2 linked regions of the Caenorhabditis elegans genome follow. The protein of the gene in region 1 purifies or fractionates together with the protein of each later gene. This does not show direct contact. Each region holds a gene or a part of one and is shown on either strand. Other genes may lie near its edges. The genes, in order: mup-4 and sta-2.

The links.
Region 2: the proteins of mup-4 (region 1) and sta-2 purify together in Caenorhabditis elegans (affinity purification with western blotting, with the first as the bait; one study listed by BioGRID). This does not show direct contact.

The regions. Positions count from the first base shown.
Region 1 is NC_003281.10:7,487,395-7,491,322, reverse strand, and holds the start of mup-4 (Transmembrane matrix receptor MUP-4), read left to right. Parts: upstream 1-2,217; 5' UTR 2,218-2,260; coding exon 2,261-2,336; intron 2,337-3,126; coding exon 3,127-3,182; intron 3,183-3,411; coding exon 3,412-3,928. UniProt on the Caenorhabditis elegans protein: Required for junctional attachments between hypodermis and muscle, and between the apical epithelial surface and the cuticular matrix.
Region 2 is NC_003283.11:9,739,054-9,742,981, forward strand, and holds the start of sta-2 (Signal transducer and activator of transcription b), read left to right. Parts: upstream 1-2,152; 5' UTR 2,153-2,169; coding exon 2,170-2,289; intron 2,290-2,367; coding exon 2,368-2,837; intron 2,838-2,937; coding exon 2,938-3,054; intron 3,055-3,102; coding exon 3,103-3,193; intron 3,194-3,240; coding exon 3,241-3,354; intron 3,355-3,396; coding exon 3,397-3,480; intron 3,481-3,603; coding exon 3,604-3,825; intron 3,826-3,928. Other genes in the region: aqp-4 (Aquaporin), read left to right, coding at 1-81, 124-179, 234-395, 492-528; marc-1 (RING-CH-type domain-containing protein), read left to right, coding at 663-687, 731-918, 1,204-1,489, 1,696-1,817. UniProt on the Caenorhabditis elegans protein: Carries out a dual function: signal transduction and activation of transcription. Required, in concert with transcription factor elt-3, for up-regulation of the vacuolar H(+)-ATPase and acceleration of lysosome maturation at molt.

The sequences.
Region 1 (3,928 bases):
TAACACTTTGTAACATTGAATGCGTGCGAAACTTCTGAGCTACTGTACCCAAGAGTTTATATGATTCATTTACTTGCTTATAATTAATCAAAATTTAGAACAACTAAAGAATTTTACAACAATGAGACAAATATAAGAAACTTGTAAAACATGTGTTGATATATTTAAATGGTAAGGTCCAAGGGTGTGCGGCAAATTTGCCGAATTAGCCGGCCACGGCAAATTTGAAAAATGTGGACTTGCCGAATTTGCCGAGCTCGGCCAATTTCGAAATTCGCCGCACATCCCTAGTTTGCTCATGAAAGGGCAATGCGGTGATTTAGAGTTAAAATTGAAATTTTCTGGGAGCAGGTAATAAGATAATGTTTTTAGGTATGAACATTTTAAGCAAGAAATATATTAAAGTAACTTTAATCAAGAATTTGATATGCTTGCAAATTCCCTAGAAATAAAAAAAGGTTCACACGCTTTGTATGTTCTAGGAACAGTTATATTTCAGTGAGCTTTTATTCAAATGGATCATGAGATATAGCTGTTAATTTCTAGATCTCACAGGATCTTCTAACATCCACCTAGAACATCGACGATCACACTTCTGAACTTGTGTAAACTTCCTCTCTTTCTCCACCCTTACCATCAATTTCTGCAATATCTCAATTTCCTTCTATAATCAATCAAAGTTGCGTATACACACCCATCTCCGTGCCACGCCTTTACCTTTCCCATGGCATCGAAGGGTATTCACAATACCTCGGACAGCGTCCAGATGTACACGCAATTAAACATAGAGAGAAACACAGAGACACCTTCTGGTGTATTCCATTCTTTCATAATGCTTCTGGCATTGCCACGCGTACGGGGGGCGCAAACTTGAAAGATCCCCCACCTTCTCCCCCCGTCGGACACCATTCATTCCGTTTAGCCAATCAACCGGCCGATTATGTTGTTGCCTTTCGATTTCACGTCTTCTTTTTTCCCTCTTTTCTTCTTTTCGTTCGAAGTTGGCGTCGTTGAATTTCCTTCTTTCTGTATCTGGTTAACCGGTGTTCATGTCAGTGTTACGCAATCCATTCCCTTTTCCTCCTCCCTCTAGTGATAAGACTTGATATGATGGGACACTTCTACAGCTTGTTAGCTTGATGATGACAAAGTGAAAGGTACTGGATGAGGTTAAGGAAGTGACTCTGATAAGGGATACGGTAGCGTGGCTGATAGCGTAAGTTTAAGGATATCTTGAGCTTATTCTATTTGAACTACGTATATGCATATGACCTTACTGTTGTTTTTTGCTGACTGAAATACTATAAAGTAGAGCTTAAAATTGCAGTTTCCTTTCCTTCCAGCTTTAGATCTAACTTTGAGAGCTTTATGGTCTTTTCGCCTACACTGGAACTCTTTCTGGACCATGAGCAGATGAATGACAAGGTCTATACAGAGCCTTTTTTTAAATATACTTTTCCTATTAGACTTGCATCCCCTAGCTCCACTGAATGATTTTATCTCGGAAAAAAAAATTAAAAACAAGTGTCAAATGTTGAGCTATACTTCTGTAGTTGAGCGCCACAAGTCTAATAAAAAATACGGTAACTCAATCTTACTAAACTCCAATGGAGCAGCAGAGCATTTCATAGCAGTGAATGATTCCAAATCCAAAGTTATAGTTCCAAATATATTTAAAAAATCGATATTTGAAGAAATTCTGCAACTTACAGTCTGACGTTCATGTTCAAGCTTTATCGAAAGTCTAAGCCTATTATTGATAATTATTCATGCATGAAAATGTTCTCCCCGGCTTTTTCTCGATTTGTCATATTTCTTTTCCGCATTTCTTCACTTATTGTTTCTATCCCCTGCCATTTCATTTTCTCAAAACCAGCCTATCACAATCAAAGACTGTTGAGGAGAAAGACACTCCTATCGGTCAGGTTCGCATATCTTCTCCTCTGCGTCTCTTCATCTTGTATACTATTTCTTCCATCCAAATGCCTATTGGTTTCTTCTTGGGGCCCTCGTTTTCTCTCATTGCCAGCCACACCTTCCAGATATATGTTTGTTTCACGTCTTCTTCAACTTTTCTTCTTTTTTTTGTAAAATCTGTTGCTCTCTCTCTCTCTCTCTCTCTCACATCTCTTTGTATTTTGTTGATTGCCAATGATCAGAAAAAAGATTCGACGAAATCAAAGTTTTCTTGATTTTCCCTTTTCTAATTTTCAATTCTTATTTAGCCTCGAATTTAATTATTTTAAGGGTCACGATCTCGATGAGGTGGGTGCCGTTAGTGCTCCTGCCGTTGATCGCCTCGGCGGCAACAACCTATCAACATCGGCAGACCTATTGTAAGTTTTTAAAGCGGGTGCAACTTTCTACTTATTGAATTATTTTGTTAAATGCATAATGTTGAAAAAATTATCAGTTTGAACCGCTTCTATGGTGGCTCTTGCCTGCCTACGCGCCTACCTATCGCGTCCCGTTACCATTTTTGCAGACAGGCAGGTATTTTGTGCTTGGTCTCACTTCACTTTTTCCTTTTGAGCCTAGTGAAAACCTGAACTTGAAAAATATCTTTACATTTATAGATTGACCCCATTAAATTACAGTAACCTCGTTAGTTCCCATTACTTTTGCCCTCATTAGTATCTAATCAAACTTTGGCAAAACCAAATGTGTCACTTTGTTTTGTTATTTCAATTTCTGATTGGTTGGGATCGATGTTAGTGTAATATTTCATTTGCCCTTCCCTTCTTTTTCTCTCTCATTCCCATATCTCTAAACCGTTAGCTTCCCTTTCTTTGGCATTTTCATTATCATTACCAGTCCTCTTCGCAGTCTCATCCCACGCGCTCCCATGTGGAAATAGCTTGAAAAGTTTGGAGACCCTGAGAAAATGGTTAAGGGCGTGGCAGTTTTGGCACACCCAGATGTGACCTTGTGTGAACACGTATACATAAATGGCATTCTGATAGAAAGGAAGAAGAAGAAGAGAGGAGATCAAGACGTTTTTAGGGAGTGAAAAATAGAAAAATAATATATGATTCATCACTTTTTAATTTAATGAATTTAATGATTGTTGTGAAATGGGGAATTCAAAAATTTGGCAAATTCGGACTTTAATCGACTGTTTTTCAGCTAGTCTGCAATGCCGAGTAAACGACCCACTATCATGTAATCAAGCAAAAAGCGAGGTAAGCAAAAAACGAGATTCTACAAAAATAGCAAAGATCAACAACATCTTAAAATGTTTAGTCTGAAAATGAAAACTCAAAGTGAATTTTATAGAGGTGTTCAGATCGGATTTTTAGAGGATACCACGATGAAAAATTTTGCATATTATCTAGGAATACATTTTCTAGTTCTTAATTTTATAAATTGTTGTTGTTTTTTCTGGCTATGAAATATGTGATAAACCTTTAGGTTTGCGTATTTGTGAACGGGCAATACCGATGTGAATGTCCCGTTGGAGTATCCCGTCTCGCCGACGGTCGCTGCCTCGTCGTCAACGAATGTGCTCGTCCATCACTAAACGCTTGTCACAAGGATGCTCAATGTGTTGATCTCGCAGAAGGATACACGTGTCGTTGTAATTCTGGATTCGCTGACACATCACCAGATAAGGTTAACAAACCAGGACGTCAGTGTCAGAAGACAACGAATGAGTGCGGAGCTAAACAGACTTATGGTGTTGATTGTGATGAAAATGCAGCTTGCGTGGATACTCCAGAAGGTTTCCAATGCGTTTGCCAACCGGGATATGCTGATGTTTCCACTTCGATCTCTAAACTTCCTGGAAGAAAATGTGTTGAATCGGTCAATGAGTGTACTAACGGAGAGGCTGATTGCTCTAACAACGCTGACTGTTTTGATCGTGCTGATGGGTACGAATGCAAATGTCGCCCAGGATTTGTCGATGCTTCACCAAACGTTGACAAGT
Region 2 (3,928 bases), on another chromosome or scaffold:
TGGCAGGGATTAATTGCTGAAACTGTGGTTACTTTCTTCTTGGTTCACACTATTCTGATCACTGCAGCTGATACTGATACAGTGAGTTCACTGAACATAAATTTGTACAAGTTACATTTTTAGGTAACATTAGCCCCTCTGGCAATTGGTCTCACGCTGTCGATTGATATTCTTTCAACGTAAGTATTGAAAATATTGCTAATATACGATGCCTCATAAATTAAATGTTTCAGTGGATCCATCACCGGCGCCTCGATGAACCCAGCTCGATCACTGGGTCCAAGCATTATTGGTTCGATTTTTGCAACTCAAAAAACATCTTTTTACTGGAATAATCATTATATATATTGGGCTGGACCACTTCTTGGATCCACAATAGCTCTTTGCATTTACAAGTAAGTGAAGAATAGCAAATTGAGGTCCAAGTGGGACGAGTCTCGTTTCCGTTAAATGGTTAATAAAAATATGTTTAAAATATTCATAATTTTCAGACTTTTCGAATCACGAGAAGAACGTATCGTGCGATGAACACGCTAAATTCATTACGTTTTGACATTTACCTGTGGTATTTATTTTTTATTCCCTTTTCAAATTCATATTATTTCTCATCTTTTCTTTCGAATCGAATAAATCGAAATCTTTTATTTCAATTCATTGTCGTTATGGGTGAAACAACATCTATCAACTGTGGGTTTTAAACTTTATGTAATTGAAAAATGTAACATTGAAGCTGCAATTTCAAGTAACAGTTCGTTGTCTTTGGCAAGCACACAGGTTCAATCACCAGAGAAACCAGTGAGACCGGCATGGCTACTTGCATCATTCTCTGAATCGACAACTTCTGGATCTCGTAGAATTTGTAGAATCTGTCAAATGCACGAGGGAGATATGGTTAGACCATGTGATTGTGCTGGAACGGTTAGTATTTAGTGATTCATAAATTTATGATAGTTTCGAAAAAGGGGACATTAAGGGCCTCAGAATCTCGTGGCTTTATGTTTTTGTATCCAATTTGTTTTGTAATTTTCGAAAAGTCTTGTATTTTTTTATATCCTTACTTATAGCCACGTAGAACAGATTAAGACAAAACCCCCACATTTAACAACTGACTTAAATATATTTTTTCTGAACATTGAATAAAATCCTGACACAAGACTACACAAGAAAAATATTGTATTGTTCAAATTAATTTACCAAATTCAGATGGGTGATGTGCATGAGGAATGTCTCACGAAATGGGTAAACATGTCAAACAAGAAAACCTGTGAAATTTGTAAATCTGAATACACGAATAGTGGTGCTCAGTTCAAGCCAATCAAGCAGTGGAGTAAACCAAAATGCTCATTAAATAATATTTTCCATGTTCTGATCATAGTTCTTCTTGGACTTTTGATTTCATACGTGGTAATTGTAATGGAAGAACGATGCTTTTACAAAAGAATTATTGAGAAGAATATGTATGCTCGCCCAGATGATACTGGAAGAATTTGTGAGTTTAAACATATATTACTTTCCAAATAACGACCTGTAGAAGTTTTTATCGAGAATAGTTACCTTTTCCGACTTTATAGAGGTTTTCGAATTGACAAACAAGTGCGAAATCTAGATCTAAGCAGAAAATAACAGAAATAACAGAAAAAAAATAACAGGCGGAAAATAGTTTCATCAGTAGACTTCAAATTACACATGTTCCAGGTGTGATTATAATTCTCTCCCTGGCAATTCTCAACAACGTATACACTCTGATTGCTCAATTCATTCGCTACTTGAAGAGTCAACGTCAAATTCGTTTCATTAATAAACATTTAACAATTTAAATTCGAATGAAGTGATGTTTTGTCTGCATTTTTTTCTAATTTTTTGTAATATTGTAAATTTATTCGATGAGTCATCTAGGAATCAGATGAAAAGAAAATGTATCTCAAATAAGAAGAGAGATAGACATACAGACTGCGCAAAACGAGTTTCTCGACCGAGAATGCAAGATGCCCACCCGACTGTCCGACGACATCGACGGCACTTTGTTGTAACATCGATTGACAATACAAACTCTGACATCATCGGTCACTTGTTTTATTTTGTTTTACTTTTACTCTTTTCTTAATTCATGTGACTACTTCGTCACTACTCCTCTGGTTTAAATTTTTAAATTCATTCTTCAAGTTCTAGATGTCGTCGGTGGTATCTGACCAAATGGACATTGAGTCCTCTTCTGCATTCTCCCCAGCCGAGCCAGTTGTAGATGGAGCATTCGTGTCAAAACATAATTTGAGCGCGGAAGCATATCAGGTAGGAACTTCAGTAAAACCTCAGTTATTAATTGTGATGAAAAGTCACAGCATTTACTGTTCATGATGCTGGTTTCAGGGTTTCAAAGAATGTGCAGATTCCCTTTTATCGGGGAAAATTGCCCAAAATGAGCAACTCCCATTCATTCAACGAACGCTGCAAATTTGTGAAAATGTGATCTTGAATTTCGAAGACGAAAAACAACATTTGATGAGCGATGTACTTCTTGTATGGGCTATGAAACAACAGAAGCTTAGTATTGCAACTCTTCACACCCAACAATTACATTACAAAGAATTAGATTTGATCAATTTACAATTTGAATATTTTGGGGAACTTTTGCAACAGACACTCTCAGGACTTGATTACTTGAAGCAATACTATCCGAACGTCGGATTTGAAGAGGTTCATTCAAAAGTTCGCAATTTGACCCATTATTTCCTTTACTACTCAATCATTGTCAGTCGTCAACCACCATCAGTGATTGTTAAATGTGGTGAAGCAGAGAATCATAGAAGAAGCAGATTCTGGTTTAATACTGAGATAAGGTTAGATTTATTCAAAAAAAAATGTTGAAATTTTTTTGAAGAAACAAGACCGGAGAAATTACATAATAGACCTAAATTTTGAATTAATTATTTGATTCAGAATTCTTGGTGGATCCGCTTTTGGAATTGATACAAACAATGAGAATTCAAATGTTAATTGTTACTTGATTACCGATGAGACTGCTAAGCAATTACTAAATAATGCTTACCTTGATATGTGAGTTTTGTAAATTATATCTGAAGCCAATTTCTTTTTTATTTTTAGTTTTGAATCTGAAGAATTCTGTATTGAGCCAAACACATCCACGTTTCAAAAAAAAGATGCAAGAGGAATAAAAGCGAAATTTGACGATATGGCGAGTTTTTCATTTAAAGATGGGAAATAAAAACAATTTCTTCTCAGAAAGTTGCAAAAAAGGTTGCACTTCGTCGAGATTCCGTTGCTACAAAACGATATTGTCTGTGCTATAATATTCAATTGCAAACAAATTGTGGAATTGAACTTGTCGGAAAAAAGGTTATAAATTGTTGGAGTGTATATTAAAATTAGATTTTTCAGGTTTCGCTTCCATTTGCTGTTCTTGTTGGTCCAAAAGCAGATGTTGAGGCAAAATTGTTCCTCGAAAGATCTTTTGCTGACTTGGTAAGTTTTTTTTTGGTATTTTTTAAAAAGAACACACACTATTTGGAACTCGAAAAATTTTTTAAATATCAACTGTGAGCTTTTTCAAAAATCTTCGAACAGAATTAAATGATCAAATTCCAGGTCCGCCATCCGCTTTCGGATATTCCCACTCATGTATCTTGTGCTGAAATGGCTGATGCTCTGGAAATGAAATTTCAAGCAATCATAGAAACACCTCAAAAAAATACTGATGGACCTTCTGTTGTTCAACCGAGAAAATTCAATATGCAAACAAAACAACACTTGGTGATGAGAATGAAACCAAATAATCAAGGATTTTTGCCACTTGATAATTTTATGAAGGTATGCGTTTTTTTGAAGTTTGGAACTTTATTTAAAAAATTATCGAAAATTGTCAAGAAAGGGAGAAAAGTGTCAAACTAGAAAACTCTCCATTCTCAAGAAT